Macaca mulatta: one gene and its partners. The protein of the gene in region 2 binds, or shares a complex with, the protein of the main gene of each other region. Links are inferred from orthologs where the notes say so. Each region holds a gene or a part of one and is shown on either strand. Other genes may lie near its edges.

Region 1 (4,829 bases), on a different chromosome or scaffold from region 2:
CTAAATAATGCTTATTTAACTTCATTATAAATACATCTACTTAACAAAAATAGATTTTGTGAGGGTCACTTCGTTTAGGTCATTATCTCAACCCACCCTCCTCCCAACCTCCCCAAACTCTGGTTTGAGCCAATATGTGTTCTATTGTTCTTAGAGCACCAGCCGACTGTACAACAATTGTTATAAAAATGTTTATTGTTTACCAAAACCAGTGGACCTCTTATCAAATGCTGCTTGGTAACAAAATCTATCACAGTTTTAATAAAAAGAAAAAAAAAGAAGCTAACTATTTGTCTCATTGTCATTAGTTAGACTTTCTGCAAGGTCACTTAATCCAGACTTATTCAGTGCATTAATCAGATTCTCAGGTGTTGCATGAACTCCCTCTTGATCTTGCCAGGCAACCAGGAGCTGCTTAGCTCTCATCTTCATGTCTTCACTGTCACACTCAATCTGCCTAATTTCTGAGTCTTTCATTTCCAAGTAGGGAGCCAGAATCTTCCATTGTTCACCCAGCTTGTTGGCAAATACCTCTATTTGTTCTCCTGTTACAGGTTTGTCTCGCCGAACATCAGGACCTAGAAAACGGAGAGAATATAAATTATGTGCAATTCTAAGTATACAACAGAAATGGAAAGCTATGGGGCCAATGAGTTTTATTAACCACCTTTAGTAGACTTTATTTTAAAAGCAAACAATTATTTTTTATATCCTCCATAAGCTGAATACCACTCTTAATAAGCATGGTCAACAATCAAAGCTAAAGCTGTTACCTCTGTTAAAATTATGTAGGCTTTCCCTGAAATGAACTGCTCCCCTTCCAGTAACCAATAATTAACAAAGGTATGGGTCACCTTCAAATGTATTTTCCTTCCCTTTTAAAGTATCATTACTCCCCAATTTTATTGCATAAAATGTAGTATTTTTAAAGTTATTATTAAGCAATGTTTTACATTCCTCACTGTAAGTCAGAAACAGTTGAGATAAAATGGGAGAAGTTGCGAAGCCGATTAAATAATGTACCTATCAACAAAGAACCCCAATCTTCTTCAATTTTGTTAAATAACCAAGAAAATTAAATTCTTACTTTCATTTTCCTTCAGTAAAGCATCATTATCTTCCTCATCTTCATCCTCACCTGTTTTTATTTCTTCAGAAGGAGGCTAAAAATGAGAAAGAAGAATGTTTGAAAGAATGCCAGCCTCTGAAGTACGGTAACAAGTACTTTGTTTAGATAAAGATGATTGTGAGATTCCAAGTACAGGGTGCCAGAACCTCACCCCTGAGAGCGTTAGACAGTGTCAGGTAAGGATCCTAAGTGGGACTGTCTTCACATGCAGAAGGAGTGAACTTGGTAAGACCCCAGAGTTGGAAAGACTCCCCACCCCCAATCTGGGAAGCAGGAAGGCCGTGAAAAGCACAGTTCCAGGATTTGCAAATACCCAGGGTTTAGTAAAGATGGCCTCAAGGAAGCCAGTAGCAACAGTGTCCTTAAAAGTTTCTGATTCTTATCTTTTACCTTTGATAAAAGACAATATACTGCATTGGCAAACAGGAAAAAATTCCTGTCTGTGTGTATAGGTGCATAACAGTTTACCTAAAGTACCATGAATTTTATATACTTTTTTGAGATGGAGTCTTGCTCTGTCGCCAGGCTGGAGGGCAGTGGCACAATCTTGGCTCACTGCAACCTCTGCCTCCTGGGTTCAAGCAATTCCCTTGCCTCAGCCTCTTCAGCAGCTGGGACTACAGGCACCTGCCACCACGCCTGGCTAATTTTTTATATTTTAGTAGAGATGGGGTTTCACCATGTTGGCCAGGATGGTCTCAATCTCCTGACCTCATGATCTGCCTGCCTAGGCCTCCCAAAGTGCCGGGATTACAGGCGTGAGCCACCGCGCCCAGCCCTGTTGAACCTTAGTTAAATTACATGCTGTACAGAAAATTATCAGTTACTTCTTTATCAACTCATGTATTTCCTGTAAATGTATATTCCAGTGTGTTTTTCCCTCATTCTAAAACATGGGAGCTTGTGGACCACTGGTTTTTCACATGATTAAGTCAGTTTTTTGCTCACATAGTGATAGCAGTTTTAAAGATGATGTCAACTAAAGGGCATGAAAAGTTGATCTATGGTACTTACCGGTAATTCCTTGGCTAGCTTTATTACCATGTTTTCAAGATATTCTGGTAAACTTTTAAACTGCTGGTTGGTTGGCTGGAAGAAGTGAGGGCTTCTCCGTGCTAATAGTCTCAGGGCTCTCCAACCATAATTTGAATTGTTCACAGCCCTATAAAAAGAGATGTCAGGCTTGTAATTCATAGTTTTGTATTTCTGTATTCCCTTCTGCTTAGTTCTGCCACGTGCAATTCTATATTTAAGGTAAATAGCTCAAAGTACCATTCTTTTGATTGGAATCTTATTCCTCAAGAACTTTTCGGGATGTTGTCCACTGATAATAACAAATCAACAGATACACACATAACTAATAACAGGAACCAACAATGTCTGAAGAGGCAGGCTCATATGAGCAAACACATTTTCAAAGTTCATACATTTTGTTTAATTTTAACAAGTCAACAAGTGTGTGCAGTACTGGCTAGATGCAGTATGTGTACAACAGGAATCATCCATCTGGCTATTCGGAATCCATGAACTGTTCCCTAATGAAGTATAACAATGATCAAGGTGGTATACAATCAGGTGAGAAACAGAAACTGCAGAGAAATTCTAAAGATAATGCTCCAGAAATACGCAATGCTGCAGAAGAAACCAAACCACCAATTTATTCCATTTAAGAGTTTTGGATTGGAAGTCTCTCCCTCCCCTAAGAATAGCAATTTGGTTTATTTGGTCATCTCTTATAAATGAGCGTGTGTTACCTTTAGGATGTGCAGGTACCACTGAAGACTTAACAAAAACTACCCCTAGACATTGAGGACTCTTCCCAAGTCAACACCTGCTGTGAGGCTTTGCCCGAACAGTTAAGAGCCTTCCTCTCTGACATATCTCTGTTTAAACGATTTGATTATTTTAGGCATGTTCAAAATTCACTGTCAATTATATATATCATTTTTCTTATTCTCCACAAAACCCTCTTTGGAGATAATAATTTGAACTATCACTTTAGGAATGAGTCCATCTAGTCTTACGTAACAGTGATAAATATTCTTTCAATTGACAAACACTTGAGCCAGGCACTCAGTAGCTGTGGAGAGTACCTGAGGCACAGTAATGCAGAATGTGTTGGCAGGCATCGCTAGTGATAAACACACAAGGTATAAGATAATTTCATAAGGATGAGGAAAACGAGAAATGAGAAGGTGGTGAGTGCCACCTTCTCATTTGGATAGTGGTAAGTGCCATGAAATAAAAACCACGAGAATGCAACAGAGGAGACCAGGGAGGGGAAGAGCTTCCAGGGGGACTTAAAGCCATGGGAACCTTGGGGGAAAAGTGGTTCAAGCAAGTGAGACAGTCAAGTGTGAAGGTCCTGACGGGAAAGGGAAAGACGTTTGAAGTGAAGAGCACCAGGCCTGCTGTGGTTAGAGCAGAGGGAAGGCATAGCTACACAGGACAGTATAAGCCAGACCAAGGAGGTTTTTAGACCCTGGGAGGGACTTTGGAACAGGCACTCACTGGAAGATTTTAAGCAGATCAGACTTGGACAGTTATTTTAAAGATCACTGGCTGATACATGGAGCACTGACCACTGCTAGAGAAAACAGTGAAGAGGTCACAGAGGTCACAGTAATTAACAACTCTGGGCACAGGGTCACACTAGTAACGAATATTGAGTGCTAACGACATGCCCTGTATGGTTGAAAGTGAACTGTCTTATTTAATCCTCAGAATAACCCTGTGAAATGGGTACTGTTACTATTTAACAGATGAGGAAAGGGAGGATGGCGATTCAATTATTAAATTAGCCTTAGTCTAATAAGTAAGTGGTAGAGGGGACTGGAACCTATGCATTCTGACAAGAGGCCTCTTGCCTTTAAACCACTACTCTTCGATTCCTATTGAAAGCCATGAGACTGTGGTGTCACCCAGAAGGTTCTAGATAAAGAGGCTAAGACTGAGTCCTGATGTTACTCCAACATTTGAGTTAGGCAGAGGATGAGGAGGCTGAAATGGAATGTGAGGTGGAGTGGGCAGCGAGGGCAAAGGGCAAACAGAAGAACCATGGATTTGGATTCTCATGGACACCAAGAGAAGAAAACATTATCTAAGGGGAACAGGATAGGTTAAGAGCTGCTGTGAGATACTGTGCTTTGAAGGGTAGAGAGAAAAGAACTAATAGTTGGAGAGAAATGGGGGCCAGGGGGAGTTTTTTTTTTTTTTTCTTATATTTTGAAACAAGGGTGATTCCAAGTCACGCTTAGTTAACAGGAATACTCCTTGAAATCAGGATGTGTCCTAACAGGAACTCCCCTAAGAGAAAAAGCACTACTCTATCCACTGCCTCTCTTAATAAGTTTTCTAGTATACACATAATTCCTAAGGAAAAAACAAATCGAATAAAATTAAAATGAGCTAATGAGAAACATTACTTACTTATATTCATTTTCAACCATATTTTCAGGGTCTGCCTGTTCAATGGCTTCTTCAAAGAATTCCTCCAAAGTGGGCATGTATTCCCTGAGCAGTATAAAATAACTAGTGAGGATCACATATATTCTTAATAATAAATACTCATAAAGTGGTGGCAAGACAAGATTCTAATGGCCCCATACTTTTAGTTACAGTTTTGATTACTTGGGAAGTCAGACTTTTAAGGAACTAAAATCCTCAAAACTAAATTCAGAAAGGACAATAAAGAGGGGAT
Region 2 (4,829 bases):
GAGCCGAGATCATGCCATTGCATTCCAGCCTGGGCGACGAGAGTGAAACTCCATGTCAAAAAAATAAATAAATAAAACTCTTTATTAGTATAGAAAAGTTTATACCTAAAGTGTGACTTGAAGTATTATTTATGACAGCAAAAAAAAATGGCAACAACCTAAAATCCAACAGGGGAATAATTTTGTGAATTTTTCTATACACTAGGATATACACTAGAATGTTGCACAACCTCCTGAAAAAATGTTTACAAAGCTTTATGCCACAGGCATACATTTATAGATAAGGGGGGGAAAGGCAAAATACAAAATTAGATTTATGGTACAAAAGATAAGGTCTTCGGCATTAAAATTTTTTTTTTTTTTTTTTTTTGAGACGGAGTCTCGCTGTGTCGCCCAGGCTGGAGTGCAGTGGCCGGATCTCAGCTCACTGCAAGCTCCGCCTCCCGGGTTTGCGCCATTCTCCTGCCTCAGCCTCCCGAGTAGCTGGGACTACAGGCGCCCGCCACCTCGCCCGGCTAGTTTTTTTATATTTTTAGTAGAGACGGGGTTTCACCATGTTAGCCAGGATGGTCTCGATCTGCTGACCTTGTGATCCGCCCGTCTCGGCCTCCCAAAGTGCTGGGATTACAGGCTTGAGCCACCGCGCCCGGCGGCATTAAAATTTGAAAGAGAGACCAGGCATGGTAACTCACACCTATAATCCCAGCACTTGGGGAGGCCAAGGTGGGAGAATCACTTGAAGCCAGGAGTTCAAGACCAGCTTGGGTAACAGAGTGAGACCCCTGCTCTACAAAAATAAAAATATTAGCCAGGCATGGTGGCAGGCACCCATAGTCCTGGCTACTTGGGAGGCTGAGGCAGAAGGATCACTTGAGCCCAGGATGTCAAGGCTGAAATGAGTCGTTGTCATGCCCCAGTGCTCCATCCTGAGCAATAGAGTGAAATGCCATCTCTTTAAAAAAAAAAAAAAACGGGGGGCCCGGCTCAGTGGCTCACACCTGTAATCCCAGCACTTTGGGAGGCCAAGACAGGCAGATCAGTTGAGATCAGGAGTTCGAGATCAGCCTAGCCAACATGGTAAAATCCCGTCTCTACAAAAAATACAAATAATAGATGGGCATGGTGGTATGCACCTACCACCCAGCTCCTTGGGAGGCTGAGGACTGACAATCACTTAAAGCCGGGAGGTGGAAGTTGCAGTGAACTGAGGTCACGCCACTGCACTCCAGCCTGGGAGACAGAGTGAGACTCCATCTCAAAAAAAAAAAAAGCTCTTAAGCAATTATAACCCCAATCCCATCCATGATGAGGTTGGTGAAGTTTAAACTATCCAGTGTGAATTAATCATAAAATGGATTTGGTCTTAGAAACTATTCTGAGAGTTCCATAGTGCTTTGCTGCGTTATCCTGGGTCATGACAAAGCACTGACACTTTATGGTTAAAAGGTCAGGAAGGGGCCAGGCGCGGTGGCTCAAGCCTGTAAACCCAGCACTTTGGGAGGCCGAGACGGGCGGATCACGAGGTCAGGAGATCGAGACCATCCTGGCTAACACGGTGAAACCCCGTCTCTACCAAAAAATATAAAAAAAAAAAACTAGCCAGGCGAGGTGGCGGGCGCCTGGAGTCCCAGCTACTCGGGAGGCTGAGGCAGGAGAATGGCGTAAACTCGGGAGGCGGAGCTTGCAGTGAGCTGAGATCCGGCCACTGCACTCCAGCCCGGGCGACAGAGCGAGACTCCGTCTCAAAAAAGAAAAAAAAAAAGGTCAGGAAGGAGGAAATGTTACCTTTTCCGCTGCTCCAGCTCCCAGTCTAGACGTGCCAGTGTTTGCTGGTGAGGGTCTCCCATGGTGACTTCGGCCTTGCTGATATCTGGTGGAGCCTCCTTATAAAACTCCTCTAAACTGACCAGATCAATTTCTTCGTGCTTCGACCTACAGACAAAAACATGACATTGTGCTGCCGTTCTCAGGAAACAAAATTGTAGTTTAAGTAAAATTGTAGTTTAAGTTCCACTATATTCTGGGTTTGTCAGTTTCCATTTGCATGATGATTACAGACCAGTGCATCACATTATTTTGTTTTTGATACCTTTTTAATTTTGAAATAGTTTAAGACTGCAAGAAGGTTCAAAAATAATACTGAGAATTTATTTCCTCCATGTACCCTTCACCCAAGTTCCCCCAATGATACTAACTTATCTAACCACATTATACATTGTCAAAACCAGGAACTGACAATGGTACAATATTGTTAACTCAAGTACAGACCTGATGCAGATTTCACCTTTATTCGTATTTAACTTTTACTAGGTAATGATTTTGTGGAACAGATAAAGATGTCTCTCAAAAATCAGCATCAGGGATGGGCACGGTGGCTCACGCCTGTAATCCCAGCACTTTGGGAGGCCGAGACGGGTGGATCACGAGGTCAGGAGATCAAGACCATCCTGGCTAACACGGTGAAACCCCGTCTCTACTAAAAAATACAAAAAACTAGCCGGGCGAGGTGGCGGGCGCCTGTAGTCCCAGCTACTCGGGAGGCTGAGGCAGGAGAATGGCGTAAACTCGGGCGGCGGAGCTTGCAGTGAGCTGAGATCCAGCCACTGCACTCCAGCTTGGGCGACAGAGCAAGACTCCGTCTCAAAAAAAAAAGAAAAAAAAAAAAAAGAAAGGAAAACTGGGCCAAAAGGTTAAAAGGATGTGACTGGAAGTGAGTTGCTCCCATACAATGTACCCAGGAATCAAACTGGTAATGTAAAGACCCCCGATAGGGAGAGAGAAACCTGCTTTTTACCAAGTGCAGAGCTCAAAACTCAAAAAGGTCAAAGAGACTTTTGAGATTCTTTATGCGCCTGAAACTATGGCTTGCAATTCTCCCACATTCACCCTTGCAATTTGCCCTTCTCCCAGATCCTAGTTTCCTAAGCTCATCAGACTTCTTTTTAAAGAGAGACTTACAGGTGTGGTGGCTCACGCCTGTAATCCCAGCACTTTGGGAGGCCAAGGCAGGAGGATCACCTGAGGTCAGGAGTTCAAGACCAGCCTGGCAAACATGGCAAAACCCCGTCTCTACTAAAAATACAAAAATTAGCCAGGTGTAGTGGTGGGTGCCTGTAGTGGGAGGCTGAGGCAGGAGAATCGCTTGAACCCAGGAGGTGGAGGTTGCAGTGAGCTGAGATTCTGCCACTGCACTCCAGAGTGGGTGACAGAGCAAGACTCCATCTCAAAAACAAACAAACAAAAGAAACAGACTTACAGCGAGCTACACGGGAAAAAGCAATTACCGAGAGACCACATGTGCCAAAGCCCTGTCCTCCCAAACTCACTTAAACTCCAAACATTTGGTGATCTCCTTCTGTAGGTGCATCACCTCATACAACAGGTTCTGGAGCTGCAAGTGATAGGCATCTACTTTCTGCTTAGCCTGAAAGGAGGATAAGATCAGAGGTGAGCAGGGCAAGTAAGGATGGGGCAGAGGAGAGGGTCAGCAAACTAAGAGAAGGTGTAAAGGGAATAAAGAAGGGGATGGGGCTGGGTGCAGTGGATCACGTCTGTAATCCCAGCACTTTGGGAGGCTGAGGCGGGTGGATCACCTGAGCTCAGGAGTTCAAGACAAGCCTGGCCAACAAGGTGAAACCCCATCTCTACTAAAAACTACAAAAAGTAGCCGGGCATGGTGGTGGTGGCAGGCACCTGTAATCCCAGCTACTTCGGAGGCTGAGGCAGGAGAACTGCTTGAAGCTGGGAGGCAGAGGATGCGGTGAGCCAAGATCGAGATTGTGCCACTGCACTCTAGCCTGGGGGACAGAACGAGACTGTCTCCAAAAAAAAAAGAAGGGGATGAGGAGGAGAAAGGAGGAAGGTTAATTAAACCTTTTAACTCCTACCTCGTGGGTCTGATCTCTTCCTTTCTTCAACCTGATGTGGGCTAATCGGTTAAGCTTCTTTAGAGTCATGAAATGCACACAGCTCTGAATCCTCCGTTCTTCAATTTCGATTGCCTGTGAGCAAAGAAAACAGTAAAGCCCACTGAGACAGGCGCTTGCTCAGCTTCCTTCCGTCCCTCACCACCGACCCATCCTCATCTGGGGCCAAACATAGGCACTGGAGGGAGCCCAGAACCATGAGAAAAGTCATGAAGAAAATAAGAGGGATGGAAGGCCGGGCGCGGTGGCTCAAGCCTGTAATCCCAGCACTTTGGGAGGCCGAGGCGGGTGGATCACAAGGTCAGGAGATCGAGACCACAGTGAAACCCCGTCTCTACTAAAAATACAAAAAATTAGCCGGGCGCAGTGGCGGGCGCCTGTAGTCCCAGCTACTCAGGAGGCTGAGGCAGGAGAATGGCGTGAACCCAGGAGGCGGAGCTTGCAGTGAGCCGAGATCGCGCCACTGCACTCCAGCCTGGGCAACAGCGTGAGACTCCGTCTCAAAAAAAAAAAGAAAAAAAAAAAAAAAAAAAAAGAGGGATGGTTATATAAGGAAAACGCTTAAGAATCTCAGGCAAAAAAAAAGCAATTTCTGCTTGGACTAGAGTAACAGGAATTGAAGTTGGAATAAAGGCAGCGAAGGCACAATCTGTCTCTACAGATCCTACGCAGAGATCCCGGCAATAGTAACATCTTGCCATAAAATTTGACCTCTATAAATAACATTACAGGATAACTTAAATGGAAAATCACAGAATTATAGCCATAAAGCTTGGCTACAATAGATTGAATGCAATAATCGTAAGAAAACTTGTCAGCATAGGCACGAATATGTGCAATTCCTGGAAAAAAAATGGATTTTTTAAAAACTTATCAAGTTTTTAGTCACGTTGTTTAATTTAT
Region 3 (4,553 bases), on a different chromosome or scaffold from region 2:
AGTGGCTCATGCCTATACTCCCAGCACTTTGGGAGGCTGAGGTGGGTGGATCACGTGAACCCAGGAGTTTGAGACCAGCTTGGGCAATATAGTGAGAATCTCTTACTACAAAAAACTTTTAAAAATTAGCTGGGTATGGTGATGTGTTGCCTGTAGTCCCAGCTACTTGGGAGGCTGACATAGAAGAATTGCTTAAGCCTGGGAGGTCAAGGCTACAGTGAGCTGTGATCAAGCCACTACACTCCAGCCTGGATGACAGGGCAAGACCCTGTCTCAGAAAAGAAAAAAAAAATTGATTTTTAATTCTGAGTCAATATAGGCAAATTGTTGTTTCATAATTTTTACTAATAATGGAAAATAGAAACATTTGTCACAGCATAGCAATTCTGCAAAGAAATTTCTCCCATGACTTGCCAGATGAAATTAGAGGAAGTATTTATAGGTATTATGACACTTTTAATATGACTACAACTGCGCTAATTTTAAACTTTCATTTTTAAGATAAAAATTATTATTAAAATTACAAAAATATAACATTATTAAGGTATGATTCATGCAAAGTGTCATGTTTCTTAACTAAAATAAATGGATAAGGATGGAGCCGAACAAGTATTACACGTATAATGAAATACTTAAGAAAATCACAAGTGATTCAGCCTTAGCTTAATTTTTAAAAAGATAATAAATTCTTTATGCAAGACAATCTTTTTTTTTTTTTAGATGGAGTTTCACTCTTATTGCCCAGGCTGGAGTGCAATGGCGCAATCTTGGTTTACCGCAACCTTTGCCTCCTGGGTTCAAATGATTCTCCTTCCTCAGCCTCCTGAGTAGCTGGGATTATAGGCAGGTGCCACCATACACGGCTAATTTTGTATTTTTTTTAGTAGAGACAGGGTTTCTTCGTGTTGGTCAGGCTGGTCTCGAACTCCTGACCTCAGGTGATCTGCCTGCGTTGGCCTCCCAAAGTGCTGGGATTACAGACGTGAGCCACCGCGCCTGGCCTATGCAAGACAATCTTAACAAACTATTTACTTCAAACAACTCTTCACTTTATCAGTACATTTTTTTCTACTGAAAATGATTCCTAAAGAACAAAACAGTAGAGAAAAGATATCAACAAAACATTTGAGAATTATATTCCTCACATATTAAGGCGAGATATAGAAAGTAATGCGCATTATTTTACTTTGCATCTTATAATTACCTCTCATACCAGTGACTTTTAACAGCCTGGAACCTCTCTATACAATAAGCATACACCACAAACATTTTGCATGTAATTTCACAGATTCATGGCCCTCCTAAAGCCTCTTCATAGACTCCATTTTCAGAAGTGTAACCATTTCCAGAAATTGGCCCATTTTCCCAGTACATCCTAGAAATGCCAACTTCTAACAATTTTCAACTTATTTTGTAAGCCAATCAATGTTACCAGTTAAAAACTACCTGGAATATTAATGAGCACAAACATATCCAGCTTAAAAGCATTTTATTAAGCATTTTTGGATGTTGCTTCCTACCACTTAAGAATAAAAAAATGCATTTTAATAAAAACAAATCTATACTGAAGTCATTTTCCTTTGTGTGAGGAAATATGAATGAAATACACATTCATATTTAAAAACAGAGTATTTTACTGCCAAAACTTTAAATATCTCAAGAGCACACCACATTTTAAACACATTATGGTCACGTAGCTATTTCAATATTCCTGGGAGTGGTGGGCGATTAGCTTGTCTATGGCTTAGGATCTGTTTCCATGCTTGCTTCCTGAGCGTCTTCTACCTCTGAGAGTTTTTCATCATCTGTAATTGAGAAGGAAACATAAAACCTTAATCAAGTTTGCCTATGTTTTATATTCAATGAACACATGAAAACATGTTTATCCTGTATTAGCCAATACAATTAAAGCAAAGATGGCTACTAGTTGAATCAAACTTTCAAATTTATGTGATAGATTTCACTTTAAAAAAAAAAAAATCTGGGCAGGGTCTGGTGGCTCACACCTGTAATCCCAGCACTTTGGGAGGCCGAGGCAGGTGGATCATTAGAGGTCAGGAATTCAAGACCAGCCTACCCTACATGGTAAAACCCCATCTCTACTAAGAATACTAAAATTAGCTGGGCGTGGTTGCATGCACCTGTAATTCCAGCTACTTGGGAGGCTAAGGCATGAGAATCACTTGAGCCTGCAAGGTGGGGATTGCAGTAAGCCAAGATTGTGTCACTGCACTCCAGCCTGGGTGACAGGAAGGCTGTCTCAAAAAAAAAAAAAAAAAAATCTGGGTCTTAGGCTATTCTTTAAAACAATCAAAAGATCAGGTAATACAAAAATTTCTAACTGTCTACAGTGAATATAAAGAGCAAGTCTCCAGTTCTCCAAAGTACCCACCACTCAGTGGGTATGCAAATGTTCTTATGTACTGATTCCTTATTATTGCCTGCCTGGGTCCTGAGTTATTACATTATAGTAATCAACTACAGTGAACCAAGAAAGATTCCAAATCTATCATCCTTGAATTTTTCTTAATTTAAACCACTATGTATATCTTTAAATCCTATATTACCACAAATTATGACTTTTCTACATATATTCAAGAAAGTTGAACTTGAGTACCTTCTAACGTCATCCAGCTATATTGTTCAGAAATAGAAGGTATACTCTCTCTCCAAGATACATATTTCAAAAGATACATTCCTGGGTCATTTAAAAAATCTTCATAAACATTTATTTTGAGACTATTTCTACTTACTTTCCAATGTTTGCTGAAGTTCATGGATGGTACTAAGAAGAACGTGAAACTGTTTCCGTCTCAATTCCAGCTGTGTTAACAAGAAAAAATTTATACAAATGATGACCTATATATATAGATATATAGACAGACAGATAGACAGATCACAAAGGCTAAATATATGTGCAAATACCTTATCTTCAACACTTTCTTTAATGTGTGAAAGATGCTCTAATTCTTTTCCCAGAGCCTCTAGTTCCCTGGAAATAAAACAGTGTTACATTTTGCTGAATGGGGGAAAAGAGATTACAATTAATACCTAACTTTTTAGTTACTAGATAGGATTTTTAAAATTAAAAAAAAAAAAGACTTATAAGGAGTTATAACACTCCACTATGGTGAAACTTCTGAAGCTGGGGATGATTTCTTCTTAACTTCTAAATATGGATTTACTTTCATTAAAATTACATTTTTGGATACATTTTTAAAGTACAGAAAAACACAGATAATAAAATAACAAGACCCAAGAAATGATACATATTGTGAAGCTTAACTTCAAGGGTTTTTTTTTTTTGGTAAAAGAAATAAAACATTGCCAATTAACCTGAAATATCCTTTGAATCTTACCTCTAGACCTCTATCCTGGGCTGTTTTATCTCCTCTACCTCCCACTCAGGCAACTACTATATCATTCTAATTCTTTTTTATGCATATACTTGTATCTCTGAATAATATACAGTATTGGTATATAATATTTGAAAGGGGGTTCTAACTTTTATAAATGGTTATTATTCTTTGTTTCAGGAATGTAGTAATAATTTAAAATTTATTATGTGTCTTTTCACTATGTTTTGAGAGCTGTGTTTTAAAAGGGCATAACTAGTTTATTGTTTTTAACTGAAATTCAGTATTTTAATATATGAAGACCATATTCTATTTGTCCATTGTGCTATTAATGAATATTACATGCATTTATTTCAGACATATAAGTGGTAAGGTCAGAGGGAAATAAAATTTAACAGAGAAGTATGGGAAAATATAATATTGAAGATCTGACCCCTCCTTTTGAAACATATTTATTCTGCAAAAAATGAAATGCCTAGGGTAGTTTATGAGCATTTATGTATAAAGGTTAGTTCCTTTCAAAGTAAAACTCTACACTTACTTTAATGTCTCATGCCTGTCTGGATGGTGTTGAATCACTTTTGCCAAAGCATCATATTCTGAAAGACATAAAAATATTTATCAAACTAAGGGTTTTTTGAATATGAATTATCAAAACAAAAATGTATAATATCAACAAAAATGTATAATATCACAAACCTCTTCTAATCACTTCCCTAGTATATCAAGAAATGAAATCATTGAAAGATGAGTATTGCCAGTTTTAGTTGACTGAGTTATAATTATAATGATACACAACATCAAAAGTGTTCCAAACAGGGGTTTTAGCTCCCACTTTTTTTCCATTTATATGTCGTGGACAGAATATAAGAGGTCAGCATAAGCATAAGCAAATTTAAGTTATTATTGATTATCAAATAGACTGATTCTGAGAAGGATCTTACTCACTAGTTGTCTAAAAAATAAAATAAAATAAAATAAAATCAGTAAATATATCCTACCATTAGTTTGAGTTGTTAGTCAACAGCAAATTACACTTCTCACTCATTCCAAAAGTTAAGATTTCAGAAACGTGCAAATAACTTAAAATTCAGGTTCTACTTTCTGCTCCACTGAGACCTCCAAGATAAGTCATGTAACTTCTGTTAACCTTTCTTATGAAGTGATGAGTGATGAGTGGCAGGATTTACTTAAAAA
Region 4 (4,829 bases), on a different chromosome or scaffold from region 2:
CCCAGACCAGAGAAAGTGGAAGAGACCCCCACAAATCGCGGGCAATTGGCAGGTAGTGGGGGAGCCAGGGCTCTGCAGTCTTAGTCCCATTCCCCTTTAATCTCACAGCAGGCAGGGCACCCAGGCCTTACAGGAATTTACGCTGGACCATGCCCTAAAATACCTCACCCCAAATACAATAAAGGGACGAAGCACTTATAGATACCACAGACACATGTGTTTCATTTTTAGTTTTGTTAAAAAAAATTCTGACAAATCAGAAATGGGGGTTCAGGAGTGGTGGTGATGCAAAAGATGGAAGCCATGGGGTGGGGGCTGTCAGGGGTGGGGGCAGTAGTGTCTCCTTCACCCCCACCCTGGTGTCCTCTCCTGAAGGACAGACGGTCACATTCCAGAATGGGCGAGTCTTCTACCGTGTCTGTTCAACTAAGGAGAAAACATAGCATGGTCAGAATAAGGCATGAAAAGGGGAAAGCAAGGCAGGAACACACAGCGCACATGCAGATGCTGGTGTACTATGTGGGTTCAGAGAACAGATGTGGGGGTGAGGGAAGGGATGTAATACGATGAGAGAAGACAGAGACCCCACATAAAGGTCAGGAAAGCATCCCAACACAGCATCAAAGATCAGGGGGCATGAACCAGCCAAGTGTCCATTATGCATCAGGTGCCAATGATCTAAGTGATGGGATTTAGGACAAACACACTAAGGAACAGGGAGGACCTAAAGGGTTTCATGAGATCAGTACTCACTGTAGGAGGAGATGTCTATCTCATCAGGCAGCTCACTAATATTGACCTCAAAGCGATCCTGCACATCATTGAGGATCTTGGCATCATTCTCATCGGACACAAATGTGATAGCCAAGCCCTTGGTGCCAAACCGGCCTGCTCTGGCCACCTGGAAGGAGACAGAGGGTAGCACTGGAAGATCAAAGAGGAAAGAGATCCAGAGGCAGGGATGAAGATGTACAAATAGAAAAGAAGGGAATGGGAGAGTGGGATTTCTTCAGCCTGTGGGGTTTACCCGATGTAGGTAGGTGTCAGAATCCTCAGGCATGTCATAATTAAAAGCAATGTTCACCCGCTCGATGTCCATGCCTCGGCCAAATAGGTTGGTAGCCACAAGAATTCGTCGTTGAAAATCTTTAAACTGCTGATACCGAGAAAGCCTTTGTGAGAAAGGAAATTTTAAAAATGTTGAGATGCCCTTCTCTCAACTGTCTTTCTCCCAAAGACACAAAATATCTTTCCCATCTTCAACTCACCTCTCCTCCTGGGGCATCCCACGGTGGATGGCAATGGCTGGAAAGTTCTGCTCCACCAGTAGCTGGGCCAAGGCAATGCACCGCTGCACAGACTTCACAAAGATCACCACCTGTTGTGGGGTGGGGTGGGAGGTGGGGGGGTCGCGAATTGGGGGAATAGGAGTCCATAGTGTGTGTGAGACATTACATGGGAGAGAGGAGTTTCTAGTAATTACGTTCTCAGGAATTCCTCTTCATCTCTCTTATTCCCCCATTATATATTTAGAGCAGAAGAGGAAATATAACTTTATTTTAGCACTGATTTTTCCCTAGGGAGGCTGGCCTCTGAGGTAGCACAAAGTTCAGAAACCAAAACTGCCAGACATGGTAGGAGACAAGGATGAGATCACCTCATGAAAAAGTGATAAAAAACTAGAATTAAGATCTGGGGGGGTAACTGATATTCCTGCTCACCAAAACATTAAACCTAAGGGAGCTATCCTAATTCTATAAAGTAGTTTTAAGTGCAAATAGGCCACTCACAAGTATATTAATGAAACACTTTTTTGACATGGGGTCACTGTCCCCCAGACTGGAGTGCAGTGGTGCAATCGTGGGTCACTGCAGCCTACACCTCCTGGGCTCAAGAGATCCTTCCACCTCAGCATCCCAAGTAGCTGGGACCACAGGTGCACACCACCACACCCAACTCCTTTCTTTTTTTTTTTACTATTTGTAGAGATGGGCCTCTCTCTGTTACCCATGCTGGTCTTGAAGTTCTGGGCTCAAGCGATGTTCCTGCCTCAGCCTCCCAAAGTACTGGGATTTATGGGCATGAGCCACTGCCCTGCACCCAGTCACAAATGCTTCTCTTGAATAAGCAGTTATTAGAGGAATTAAACATGTAAGAACCCTAACTTGCCCCCCAAAATCATTTCAAGCCTTTAACAACTTCCTAAAACCTTTCAAGGACTTTTGGAGACAAGGTCTCACTCCACTGCCCAAGCTGGAGCACAGTAGTGCAATCATAGTTCACTGCAGCCTCAATCTCCTGGGCTCAAGCTATCCTCCCACCTCAGCCACCAGAGTATCTGGGACTACAGGCATACACCACCACACCTGGCTAACTTTTTCTTCTTTGGTAGTGAAGTTTCGCCATGTTGCCCAGACTGGTCTCAAAGTCCTAGACTCAAGTGATCCACCTGCCTCAGTCTCCCAAAGTGCTGGGAGTACACACATAAGCCACCGTACCTGGCCAAGGATCTTAACTTTTGAAGTTTATTTTCCTTGAGGTTATTGAGGACATACATATCCATGCCAACCACAGAATAGAAAAGCAGCTTCCACCTTACTCATGCTCAGCCCCTAATGTTTACACCCTCATAATTCTCTCCCACATCACACATGTGATTTCCTCAATAAAAGTGTACTTAATATCCAGGTTTCTGCTACAGCTGGAGTGCTCCAATGCTCATCCCCCTACTGGACGTGTAACTGACCTGGTTGAACTCAAGGACATCCAGAAGGTCAAAGAGCTTCCGGTTCTTCTCGTTGTCCTTCAGTTTCACGTAGTACTGCTGCAACCCATGCAGCGTCAACTTCGTCTCATCATCCACGAAGATCTCCATTGGCTGGGGGGGAGGAAGGGGTGGGGAACGGGAGGAGGGCAGAGTGGGGGGGTTAAACCTGGGGGGGTGGAGGAAGCTGATCTCCAATACACCCCATGGGGGGATGGGGAGGAAAGAGAAGATTGAAAACCCCACCCCACTCCCAAAACTACCCATATTTTACTGTGGTCTCTCTCACATTACATCTAATTTCCTTCCTATCAGAGGGGTTTTAAGACTGCCCAACTAAAAACTATCATGGGAAAGAAACTGCAAATGAAGTAAAGGAGCAGTGAAACCACCCAATGGCACAGATGCCACTACCTCAAATAGAGGTGGGAGAAGAAAGAAAAAATGTGGAAGATGATTCTCAAAGGGAGAGCAAGGCCCAAACGTCTGGGAAATGATGGGAGGCAGTGACTCAAGGTCAGAATAACTCCATCACAGCTGCTTGTAAGAACATGGGGTGGGGGCAGGACAACTGCTCCATTTGATTCTCCTACTTCAACTAAGAGAATCTCATATACATTAGGAAAGTGGATGTCAATTTTAAGATCAGAACACTGCAATGGACAGTCAAAATGCCACTTAAGGAGAAACAAAAATTACTCAAGATAAGTAACTTGCCGTCAGACCACAACAGGATAATTTTAGATGAGACTGGTCTCTTCACTAAGAATTAAACCATCTACAGGTTTACAGGGAAGGTATCAGTAAGTGGTATTAAAAAACCAAATTCAGAGCAGGCAGATATGCTTTTAAGGGACAGGATCTCACCATGTTGCCCAGGCTGGAGTGCAGTGGCTATTCACTGGCACAATCATAGCACATTATAGCCTCAAATTCCTGGGCTCAAGTGATCCTCCTGCTTCAGTCTCCCGAATAGCTGGGACTACAGGCACACACCATTATACCTCACTGCATTCATCTTTAAAATTTAAAAACCCCCTGAAGGGGAGGAGAGTAACAAAGACAGAAATTACCACAACTCCAAAATACAACTTTCCTAACACTTTTGTACTTCTCTGGGGGAAGATAGTTAATATTAAGACCCAGAGGACAAAATAGGAAAGGATGGGTATGTCATGGGAAAAAACAGAAGCCCAATCCCAAAAGGCAGGTTTTGATACAGGGTCTTACTCTATCACCCAGGCTGGAGTACAGTGGCACAATTACAGCTTACTGCCGCCTCCGTGTCCCAAGCTCAAGCAAACCCTCCTGCCTTAGCCTCCCAAGTAGCTGGGACTACAGGCATGCGCCACCACGCCTGGTTTTTCTGGTAGAGACAAAGTCTTACTACACTGCCCAGGCTAGTCTCAAATTCTTGGGCTCAAGCAATCCTCCCATCTTGGCCTCCCAAAGCACTGGGATTAGAGGTGAGCCACCAGGCCCAGCCAAGGCAGGCTTTCTAAAGAGAAGTTCCATGGCCTTCTTCAAATCTCATTCTAGCCCCAAATAAAGCTAAAGAGTTATCATCCCACGGGAAGGAACACTGCAGGGAGAACACACTCCACTGCTTATGCAATTGGCCCCACCTAGCCCCAAACCCTAACACCCACCCGATTACATCCACTTTACCTTTCCTATGTCCCTCTCCTCTGAGTATTAAAAAAAACAAAAAAATTTTTTAAGGAAAAAAAAAAAAAATCTACCACCCCATTGAGGACACCCCTCCCCAACACATATGGGGGGAAACGGGGCACGGCACGCGTTGGGTTCAGGAAAAAAACCGGGAACGGAAAAAGAGGCTGGTTTGGTCCTCAGCTTCCTGGTCAGGTTTCCCCGCGGCCTCCGCTGCCGCCATCCACCGCTGGGTGCCGTCTGCATTCCCTCGCCGCGCCACGGTGCTTCTCTGTTGCCGGCTCACATCAACCGAGGTTCCAGATGGGTGCAAGGAGATGTGGGTGGGAAGGAGTAGGGTATCGGGGATTGAGGTGCCAAAGGCCCCCACCCCTGGAGGTGGGGAAGGGGAGGA
Region 5 (4,295 bases), on a different chromosome or scaffold from region 2:
AAATTTACTCACAGTGACATGAACAACATTCCACTTCTGCCGCTGAGGTGGCAAGTTGGTTTGCAACTAAAAAGACCCTTCACCAGGGAAGGTGAGCACGCTACTGCAAACACTACTGTGCACACTACTGCACCTGCTCAACGCATCACTCACTGAGATGGCCCAACAGCTGACTTCTCATGGCCATGGTTTACTCATCTGTGAAGTGGGAATGGCAACACTTGCAGAAACAGAGTAGCCCATTGCAAACAAAGGCACGTGGGCCTTTAAACAAACCCAGATCTGAATACAGTCAGTTGATGAGTAACACTGAGTTACTTAAACTCCCTGAGGTAGTAAAATGGTGATAACACCCACCTCAGAAGGCTGCTGCAAACACTGAGTAACAGCTGACAAAAGTGTTCTTTATGGTAGCAGGCATGTAGAGAATGCCCAGTAACTACAAATATCTGTCAAGACTTGTTGAGTGTTTATAATACTCCCCAACACGGTGCTGTGCCCCTTGCCTAACTTATCTTGCCATACTTGGTTTGTCTACCCTTCGTGTATGAAGATAAACATGTTTTTATACATAAACATGGACACAAGAAAACTTCTGGAAGGATATACATCAAAATTCTAATAGTAGTTACCTCTTGGTGCTAGGAATGTAATTTTTCTTTTTGCTTACCTTTTTCCAAAATATTCTACCAACGTATTTCTGTATGCCTCAGTATTTGCTTTAACACCAAAAAAAATTACAATATAATGAAAAACTACTGCTCTTAGGTAACAACCTCCCCAACACAAGCCCTTTTTTTTAAAGGGAAGAACTAATAAAGCTTTGCTCTCCATGAGGAACCACTAAGTGTTTTTCTTTTCAATAAGAAAGCTAACTGACTTACTCCCCTCTTTACTTTGCCACCAGGAAGCTCAGAGCCAAAATTTTAGTTCAGTCATTCAATTAGCTTTGTCCCTATATTTCAGAGGGTTATTGGTTGGGAATTTAAATGACAGAATTATAACATTTAAATTATCTTTCTCAAATTAAAAAAAAAAATACAAAACTGCAACATAAGGACATAATTTTTAAAGTCTTAGAAGTGCCATAATAAAAAAAGTCAGTTTATTAAATGCTCAATTCTCAAAATTATATATATATATTTTTAATTATTTAAAAAATTTTCCATACCTTTCCATTCCCCTCCCTCCAAACTAAGTATTGTCCAAGTTGTATCAAACGCCACAAAGTCTACCATGTACCCAAAAGCAGAGAAGACAGGAGATCCAGAGGACAAGGTATGCTGGGGTCACTACCTACACTGCAGAGTCCACACGAGTTAACTCACGCTGGGGGCAAAGAATGGAAAGAGCTAATACACAGAAAAAGCAAAAGAACTGGAATGGGCAGCCTGACCATAGACATTTACAATTTATACCAATTTACAAATATTTAGGGTGCCCACCAACTCCAAGAGAACAGACCAAACTAACCACATGAAGGAAGACCTCTGCCAGGGCCTCCTCTACCTACAATCCCCTCTCAAGAATCATTAGGAAGCCCAAACAGCTTCACAGTTCCGGCTTCCCGGCTGCTGTCATATTTGCCGTCTTTGTCATCACAGGCAAATGCCAGCAGAGGCCTTTTGGGGTGCCACGCCACTGTGAAGGTCGGAGACTCACACTGTACCTCCCATAGTTTGTCCCCTATAGAAAACAATAGAGAGAAACCAATCAATACGTTCATAACGAAGGACACATTCATTAAGTACTTACCTGTATTAACTCGTTTAATTCACCTACTAATCCCATAAGATAGATACAACTACTACCTCATTTTACAGAGAACCCCCAGGCACAGAGAGCCCACAAGCCAGCAGGGGGCAGAGCAGGCTCTGAGCACAGGTGGGTTAACTCAAGAGCAGGTCGCTGAGCAGGAAAAGTGTCACCGAGTCACAGGGACACGCAATTACATGAAGGATCTGCATGGCTGGATGCTGGACAATGTTCACCACAACGTGACTAACACAGACATTCTTTACATACTGGAATTTCAAGTTCTTTACTTTCCTCTTCAAAGTTTTCTATGTAGTTTTAACCTTTTTACGAAGAGTGTCACAGATTTCCGAAAACAATACAGCAACATTAAAAAACAAATCTGAGGAAATTCTTTTGTAAAATGAATACTCTCCTCCCATTTTTCTATTTCCAGCTTCTGTTGTTGTTTTTAAAGCAAAAACTTGATAATTCCTTAAATTTAAAAAAATATTTTTTCAAGTTCATATACAGGCAACAGATAAAGAGAAATATACCACAGCATTTTTAAAAAGGTGGTATTCAGATAGTGGGACCACAAGTGATGCTTTTTTCTTCCTCTTACTCTGTAGTTTAAAGTTTAAATAAATCAAAATATTTTTCTAAATCAGTTTCCTCAGACCTGCCTGTTTATTTCTTAACTCTTTGCTTCCTCACTACCCAGCAGTGACAGTCAAAACATAAACACACTTGTCTAAAGGAGACAAATTCATTCATGATAATGCTGATGAAGCAGTCACGTGCAGAGATGAGATCACAAGAGAAGTCCTGAATGCCAAAGGTGAAAGACAGTAGATTCTCATGAGGTTACCTGTCTCCACTTCAGCAATGTCAATAAAATGGTCTTCCGATGCTGACGCCAGCATTTTCCCATCATGGCTGAAACTGAGGGTCCTTACAGGCCAATCCAGCCTATGATACAGAGTGGACAGAAGAGACATGAGAATTACCAAATAAGAGGAGGGAACAATGTCACTCACAATAAAATAAAATTCATGTACCCAACAAGGAAAGTGCTGATAGAGTTACTTACCTGGAAAAGCACCGAACACACACTAACTCATCCACATCCCAGAGGCTAACCAAAGCATCTGCACTTCCTGTGGCAAAGTACTTCCCCATCGGGTCAAACTTGATACAGATGCAGTTGGAAGGATGGGCGTTGATGGACTGCACAGGCTTCAGTTCTGGGTAGCTGAGAAACAAGACAGACAGTGATCAAACTGCAGAAGAGGACTGTGGTGCTAAAATAATAATAGGAGACAATGAAGAAGAAAAGCAAAGATAATGCACCACCACCAAGAACTGTCATTCAAGATAATATTCCTGAAATAAAAAAAGATTTTGAACTACATTATTTAAAAAGCACAACACATACATGAGACTACAGAACCAAAGCAACCAACATCGAGACACAGACTAGTAAAATTAGTGGACTTTAAAGAAAAAGAAAATTAGATTATCAGGCTTTCTGACAGCAACACTTACTGCCAAAAGAAAATGGAGTACCATATTTAAGAAAGATACACAAGCAAGAAAATGAGTCAAGGATTTTTACATCCAGCAAAACTGAATTTGAAATATAACGATACAAACAATAAGCACAATAATGTTTTATTAAATCTATAAGCTTTATAAGTACATAAATAAGTTGTAATAAAAACTCCAGGAATAATGTTCCCATGAACGCTTCCCGAGGAATCTTAACTAGAGAATGAGCTTCAATAAAAAAAATGACTCAAGACTTATAAGGACTGGTGCTGAACACTGAATATAGAGTTTCTTGCAAAAACTATACATGGTTTAAAGGGAGGGTATAATATGTAACAGCTGCACACTCCTACAACATATAGTACTATTTTTTTTAATGGGGGAAGAATGCAAAGAGTGTATGCAAAAAGCAAAAACATTTTTTGTTTCAAGTCATCACATTGGTGGTAGTGGCAGTAATATTGTTATTCAGAGACATCTGTATGTTTACCACGGGATACAGGTAATAAGTAACCATCGGATATTCTAATTCTATGATCCCTTGTGCCCTTGAGAACCAGAATACTCAATTTGGAAGGGAAGAAATATATTTGTAATATAGATGAGGTTTAATAAAATCCCCGGAGTCCTCAATTTTAATTGGAAGTTATCAATGTGAGTTCACAAGGTATTTTATCTTTATATACATACACACACACACACACGTAATTCCTAGGCCAACCCAACGGTAATGAACATTCCTAACTTCAGTATGATTTCTCAGTGAAAGAATGTAAGGCCTCCTTTTTTTTTTTTTTTGAGGTGGAATCTCACTCAGTCACCCAGGATGCTGGAGTGCAGTGGCACAATCTAAGCTTACTACAACCTCCACCTCCCAGGTTCAAGCGATTCTCCTGCCTCAGCCTTCCAAGTAGCTGGGATTACAGACCTGCATCACCACGCCCAGCTAATTTTTGTATTTTGAGTAGAGACGGGGTTTCTCCATGATTGCCAGGCCTCAAGTGATCCAC
Region 6 (5,440 bases), on a different chromosome or scaffold from region 2:
AAAAATGTTTTTTGTAATATATTTGCACCACCACGTATTCTGCCTAGTAATATGAAAATGCTAACACCTATCTTTAAGAAGATACAAAAACTCCAAAGACATGCTATATGCAACAAAGTTTTCATAGAGGGAAAACAGGTCAAATAAACTGAAACTAAGTACTGAATGGTGATGTGTTTAACTATTTAAAATAGCTTATTATGTTACACAATTTTAAACTCTCTTCCTGTAACAGAATGCAATCATAAAACTGACTATACTGATTTGGATCTACTATAATTCAATCCACATTCCACAAGTCATGCAATAACTACATACATGTAAGTTCTAATAACAGTTTTTTTGTTGTTATTTTTGTTTTGTTTGTTTTTGAAAAAGAGTTTCGCTCCCCTTGTTGCCCAGGCTGGAGTGCGACAGCTGCGATCTCAACTCACCGCCACTTCCGCCTCCCGGGTTCAATCGATTCTCCTGCCTCAGCCTCCCGAGTAGCTGGGATTACAGGCATGTGCCACCACGCCTGGCTAATTTTGTACTTTTAGTTGAGACGGGGTTTCTCCATGTTGGTCAGGCTGGTCTCGAACTCCTGACCTCAGGTGATCCACCCACCTCGGCCTCCCAATGTGCTGGTATTACAGGCGTGAGCCACCTCACCCGGCTTCTAATAACAGTTTTGAAGCAGCTCTTCAAATATAAGAACTATGACAGGTAGCATGTATTATATAAATACACATAATGTGAACCTAAAATTCCATTTTTTCTAGGTATTTCGACCTCCTACATCACTTTTTCTCCAACCATTACCAGTCAGAAGCCAAGCAGAATTTCACCTTGTAGCCCTAATACCACTCATTCTAAGGTGGGAGCAATAACAGTAAAACTGTTGGGAGGCCGAGGCGGGCGGATCACGAGATCAGGAGATGGAGACCATCCTGGCTAACACGGTGAAACTCCGTCTCTACTAAAAATACAAAAACTTAGCCGGGCGTGGTAGCACGTGCCTGTAGTCCCAGCTACTCGGGAGGGTGAGACAGGGAGGCTGAGACAGGAGAATCGCTTGAACGCGGGAGGCAGCGGTTAGTGAGCCGAGATCGCGCCACTGCACGCCAGCCTGGGCGACAGAGCGAGACTCCGTCTCAAGGGGAAAAAAGAAAAGCAAAACTGTCAAAAAACAGTAGCTGAAAGGAGGAAGCTGAGCCATCTACAAAGATAACAGCCCCTAAATAAATGAGCTGGCTTTAAAAGTAAACAAAACAGTGAATTGCTTTACGAGTTTTGGTGGATTACCCTAATATGGATGAAGATGATGGTCTGGCTGGGTAACTTCCCATCTTGCCTTCCCCAAACTTGATGGCTATTTGTCAACTAGCTATCAAACGTGATGGCTATTTGTCAACTAGCTAACAAACTTGATAGCTATTTGTTAACTAGCATGTACGAGGATTTGTAAAATGTTCATTACAGTTAAAAACGAAGGTTTATCAAATAGTCTTCTCTGACAATTAATAAACCAATAAGCACTCTAAGCATATGCTGGGGGGGGGGGGGGTGGGCGTGCGTGGAACCGAAAGAAATATGAGACATAGTCCCTATCTTTCAAGGGCCTCTCAATTCATTACAGTGCAAGAGTAAAAACACATGAAGGAGTCAGAGACCAATTAATTGCTAACCAGAGTGGTACAGACTTTAAGTGCATGAGCTGTCCTGAGAAGTTTAAATATCTAAAGGTTGGAATAATATTACTTTTAATAGCTATCACTTGAGCACTTACTATAAGCCAAGTGCTTTACAGGCATTATTTAGTCTTCACAACAATCCTTTGAGTAGAGTACTTATTATTCCCAATTTACTCAAGGGGAAACAGTCCAAGTGGTTAAGGAACTTACCCAAGGTCACTCGGCTAGTTAAGTGGCTAAGACAGCCGCTTATTTAGGGAATTCTAGCGCTCGCACTGTTAAGACTTCATACAGCAGTGCGGGGGGTGCGGGGGAGGAAGCCACATAGGCTGGCACTATTACAAGCGCGGGATCCGGCAACGCGTTCCTCGTGTTTCGTTCCAAGTAATGAAGTTACAAAGATCTGAATCGTTAGCATGAGCCACGGTAAACTGGCTACTAGAAATGGAGAGGGGTGGGCAAGGACGACAAAAATGGCTAACAAGAGTTAATTTGATCCAGGGTTGAGCGTTAGCATCTAAAAGCGATCCAGAGAAGGAAATGAGAAGCTGTTATTAATATGTTTTCTTAAATCTGAGGTTTGCTTTGCTGCTTAAACGACTTTTTTCAGGGAGAGGGGAGGAGGGAGCGCTCTAATGTGGGGGCGAGAAGACTAGGGGTATGGCAAATTACTGTTTTCGGCGTTACGGGGGAAAAGTTTCACGACTAAAGGAAACGCGTTATCCTAGGTACTCGAGAAGCTTGGAGAGTTGCCAGAATTAGTTGCAGTCCCAGGATAAAATGGGGTTTAGGGAACATTTAATGACGAAAGTTAAATCCAACCCTAAATAGCTCTAAGGTGAACAGACGGAGCAAAGAAATGTCTGTAGTTCTTCAGGGAAAGCGGCAATCCCTGCCACACTTCCCCACGGCGCTACGCGAGGCCGGGACAGTCAAGAGACCGCTCCCCGGGAGGACGAGAGGTGCCAAACCGGGTTCTTCGCGGCGCCCCGGGCTTCGCGGCAGCGGGCGAAGAGGAGGGGAGGGAATCCGGGACGGTTCGCCCTCCTCGGACTTCAGGCAGAGGAGGCGCCAAGCTCCAAACTGCGGAGTCCAACGGGTGCAGAGTGAAGAAATGGGACAGAGAGAGATGGAAAGTCCGAATCGCCCCAGCGCAGCCCCATAAAGATAAAGGAGCCCAGTGAGATCAAGCGAAAAGGGGGACACAAAAAGAGACCAAGAGGGAGCGCAGAGACCTGCAGGGGCGGAACAGGAGTTCTACTAAGAGGCTAAAGAAAGCCGAGCTACCGCAGGCAGTAGCGATTTCTGGGAGGCCAGGGAAGGAAAGAGGTCCGCGGCGGTTAACAGCACCTCTCCCCGAGTTCGAAACTCCTAGCCGACCATCCACGCCCGCCGCCCGGGTGGGGGAGGGGGTACATCTTCCCCCCCCAACCTCCCACCACAGGTGAGAGTGCAGCTGACGCCCTGGCCCGGCCCGGCAGTGCGCCTGCCTCCGGCCCGAACACTCACAATTCGCCTCTCCCTGATTTCTCCCAGTTCTTTATCCACTCTGCAGGAACCACCACAGCCGCGGCCGCCATCTTCCTCTCACTAGTAGCAGAGGCCCGGATGTGTAGCACGCGAGCGAAGGGTCAAAGGGGAGCACCGCCCACGAGGAATGCCGGGAGCTGAGAGTTCGTTTTTCGATTTCCCGCCCCACTTTCCTCCCCACCCAGCGGAAACCCGAGGCTCGGCAGCCAACGACGTGGAGACTCGCGGGCTCCTTTGCGAAGTTACTCCGCGGGCTGCGCCGTCCGAAGTCCTCAGCCTTTCCATTAGAACAGAAAAATGCCATCCACGGGCCAACAAGTAGACCTTATCTTCTTCCATAGTATCTACCCCAACCACTAATACAAACACGCATTTTTCAAGCACCTAATATGTGCTAGACACTGGGGATAGAGAAATAATACAGTCTTTGGGAAAGACATAAATATAAGCAGATAAATTACATTACGCCCTGCTGACTGCTGAGATAAAAGGAAATAATCGGGAAGGTGGTAGCCATTGTCTGTGTGCCAAGCATTACGCTAATGCGAGGGATACGACCTAACCGTGGGAAACATGGATCCACGAGTTCTGACACGCTGCGTTGGCCTGCTATCATTGTTACCTTAGGCTAAACTAGGGACTAAGTACCATGAAAAACAAAATGGGCCGCGCACGGTGGCTCACGCCTGTAATCCCAACACTTTGGGAGGCCGAGGCAGGTGGACCACCTGAGGTCAGGAATTTGAGACCAGCCTGGCCAACATGGTGAAACCCCGCCTCTACTAAAAATACAAAAATTAGCCGGGCGTGGTGGCACGCTCCTGTAATCCCAGCTACTCGGGAGGCTGAGGCAGGAAAATCGCTTAAATTCGGGAGGCGGAGGCTGCAGTGAGCCATGATGGAGCCACTGCACTCCAGCCTGGGCAATAAAGTGAGACTTCATCTTAAAAAAAAAAAAAAAAAAAAAAAAAACACTGTATTATTCCTTAATCTACAGATATTTCAAATTTGATCTTTTTTTCTTTTCTTTTCTTTTCTTTTCTTTTTTGAGACAGGGTCTCACTCTATCGCCCAGGCTGGAGTGCAATGGCACAATCATGGCTCACTGCAGCCTCTACCTGCCTGGGGTCAAGCTACCCTCCCACCTTAGCCTCTTGAGTTGCCGTGACTACAGATGCACACCTCCAGGCTCTGCTAAATTTTTTGTATTTTTCTAGAAACAGTTTTTCACCACATTGTCCAGGCTGGTCTGGAACTCCTGGCCTCAAGTGATCTGCCCACCTCAGCCTCCCAAAATGCTAGCATTACAGGCGTGAGCCACCCTGCTCACCCCAATAATACTTTTTTTTTTTTTTCATGACACAGTCTCAGGAAGTCCTGACAACATGTGCTCCCACCCCACCTCCATAATGCTTGTTATAGCAACAACAAAAAAAAATTTTTCTGACTGCGTATCAGTTATCACATCTCCATTAATCTGGAAGAATTCCTCAGTCTGTCTTCCACAACCTTGACATTTTCGAAGAGTGCAAGCCAGTAATTTTGTAGATTGTACCTCAGTATTTGTTTGTCTGATATTCCTTCACGATTAAATTAAGTTTATGCAATTTTTTGACATACTACAACATCGTGTTTTTCTTTTTTTTTTTTTTTTGTAATTTTAAAATACTTTATTGTTAATAAATGCTAACAGTCATCTTAGCCCTCAGAGAGTTATAACCTTTTTGCTGGTCAAGGGTCTTGTCTCAATGTGGATGGCTGCTGTTGTGGCAATTTCTTTCTTATTTATTGTTTTAAATTTAATTTAAAGTTCTGGGATACATGTGCTACATGTACAGGACGTGCAGGTTTGTTATGTAGATAAACGTGTGCCATGGTGATGGGAAAACACCCACTGACGTATTTAGAGTTAACACCTCTGGAACCGGGTGTGGTGGCTCACCCCTGTAATCCTACCACGTTGGGAGGCTGAGCCAGGTGGATTGCTTGAGCTCAAGAGTTGAAGACCAGTCTGAGCAACAGAGTGAAACCCCATCTCTACAAAAAATACAAAAATTATTTCAGCTTGGTGGTGCACGCCTGTAGTCCCAACTACTAAGGAAGCTGATGTAAAAGTGTTGCTTGAGCTGGGGAGGTTGAGGCTGCCGTGAGCTGTGAGCATGCCACTGCACTCCAGCCTGGGTGACAGAGCAAGACCCTGTCTCAAAAGAGAAAAAAGAAAAAGAAAAAAGAATATA

What was found.
Region 1: the proteins of THOC5 (region 2) and THOC1 are in contact, whole or in part, in a cryo-EM structure (PDB 7APK), measured with the Homo sapiens proteins. The link is inferred for Macaca mulatta from reciprocal best matches to the Homo sapiens genes THOC5 and THOC1. Residues at the interface, in NP_001002877.1 of Homo sapiens: Tyr52, Arg113, Lys120, Asp124, His127, Leu128, Gln131, Asn132, Leu134, Tyr135, Glu136, Met138, His139, Thr145, Lys146, Glu149; in NP_005122.2 of Homo sapiens: Glu60, Arg145, Arg146, Leu147, Ser148, Ser150, Gln151, Lys285, Met286, Leu289, Val296, Tyr297, Phe298, Leu302, Ser304, Leu307, Leu310, Gln311, Ser313, Asp314.
Region 3: the proteins of THOC5 (region 2) and THOC7 are in contact, whole or in part, in a cryo-EM structure (PDB 7APK), measured with the Homo sapiens proteins. The link is inferred for Macaca mulatta from reciprocal best matches to the Homo sapiens genes THOC5 and THOC7. Residues at the interface, in NP_001002877.1 of Homo sapiens: Pro48, Asp51, Tyr52, Tyr55, Cys59, Leu62, Gln63, Met66, Ala67, Gln70, Phe95, Lys99, Leu101, Asn102, Ala105, His106, Arg108, Leu109, Gly112, Arg113, Gln115, Thr116, Ala119, Lys120, Val123, Tyr126, His127, Leu130, Leu133, Glu136; in NP_079351.2 of Homo sapiens: Ala21, Asp23, Ile27, Leu30, Val31, Phe34, Tyr50, Met53, Leu54, Leu57, Cys60, Glu61, Met64, Gly65, Thr67, Leu68, Val70, Tyr71, Asn74, Met78, Tyr81, Ile84, Tyr85, Ile88, Glu89, Ser91, Ile92, Ala95, His96, Lys98.
Region 4: THOC5 (region 2) and DDX39B share a complex: the UniProt entries of both Homo sapiens proteins name them as parts of the transcription/export (TREX) complex. The link is inferred for Macaca mulatta from reciprocal best matches to the Homo sapiens genes THOC5 and DDX39B.
Region 5: THOC5 (region 2) and THOC3 share a complex: the UniProt entries of both Homo sapiens proteins name them as parts of the transcription/export (TREX) complex. The link is inferred for Macaca mulatta from reciprocal best matches to the Homo sapiens genes THOC5 and THOC3.
Region 6: THOC5 (region 2) and THOC2 share a complex: the UniProt entries of both Homo sapiens proteins name them as parts of the transcription/export (TREX) complex. The link is inferred for Macaca mulatta from reciprocal best matches to the Homo sapiens genes THOC5 and THOC2.

What each region holds. Positions count from the first base shown.
Region 1 is NC_133423.1:71,546,480-71,551,308, forward strand, and holds the end of THOC1 (THO complex subunit 1), read right to left. Parts: intron 4,643-4,829; coding exon 4,559-4,642; intron 2,292-4,558; coding exon 2,144-2,291; intron 1,164-2,143; coding exon 1,088-1,163; intron 579-1,087; coding exon 283-578; 3' UTR 271-282; downstream 1-270. UniProt on the Homo sapiens protein: Component of the THO subcomplex of the TREX complex which is thought to couple mRNA transcription, processing and nuclear export, and which specifically associates with spliced mRNA and not with unspliced pre-mRNA.
Region 2 is NC_133415.1:22,013,237-22,018,065, reverse strand, and holds part of THOC5 (THO complex subunit 5), read right to left. Parts: intron 4,002-4,829; coding exon 3,888-4,001; intron 3,425-3,887; coding exon 3,327-3,424; intron 1,933-3,326; coding exon 1,786-1,932; intron 1-1,785. UniProt on the Homo sapiens protein: Component of the THO subcomplex of the TREX complex which is thought to couple mRNA transcription, processing and nuclear export, and which specifically associates with spliced mRNA and not with unspliced pre-mRNA.
Region 3 is NC_133407.1:127,390,752-127,395,304, forward strand, and holds the end of THOC7 (THO complex subunit 7), read right to left. Parts: intron 3,956-4,553; coding exon 3,898-3,955; intron 2,993-3,897; coding exon 2,926-2,992; intron 2,824-2,925; coding exon 2,754-2,823; intron 1,806-2,753; coding exon 1,738-1,805; 3' UTR 1,473-1,737; downstream 1-1,472. UniProt on the Homo sapiens protein: Component of the THO subcomplex of the TREX complex which is thought to couple mRNA transcription, processing and nuclear export, and which specifically associates with spliced mRNA and not with unspliced pre-mRNA.
Region 4 is NC_133409.1:150,796,131-150,800,959, reverse strand, and holds the end of DDX39B (spliceosome RNA helicase DDX39B), read right to left. Parts: intron 2,879-4,829; coding exon 2,747-2,878; intron 1,379-2,746; coding exon 1,269-1,378; intron 1,173-1,268; coding exon 1,028-1,172; intron 902-1,027; coding exon 754-901; intron 427-753; coding exon 410-426; downstream 1-409. UniProt on the Homo sapiens protein: Involved in nuclear export of spliced and unspliced mRNA. Component of the TREX complex which is thought to couple mRNA transcription, processing and nuclear export, and specifically associates with spliced mRNA and not with unspliced pre-mRNA.
Region 5 is NC_133411.1:184,887,463-184,891,757, forward strand, and holds the end of THOC3 (THO complex subunit 3), read right to left. Parts: intron 2,990-4,295; coding exon 2,828-2,989; intron 2,707-2,827; coding exon 2,606-2,706; intron 1,687-2,605; coding exon 1,523-1,686; 3' UTR 1,115-1,522; downstream 1-1,114. UniProt on the Homo sapiens protein: Component of the THO subcomplex of the TREX complex which is thought to couple mRNA transcription, processing and nuclear export, and which specifically associates with spliced mRNA and not with unspliced pre-mRNA.
Region 6 is NC_133426.1:130,143,880-130,149,319, forward strand, and holds the start of THOC2 (THO complex subunit 2), read right to left. Parts: upstream 3,259-5,440; 5' UTR 3,254-3,258; coding exon 3,183-3,253; intron 1-3,182. UniProt on the Homo sapiens protein: Component of the THO subcomplex of the TREX complex which is thought to couple mRNA transcription, processing and nuclear export, and which specifically associates with spliced mRNA and not with unspliced pre-mRNA.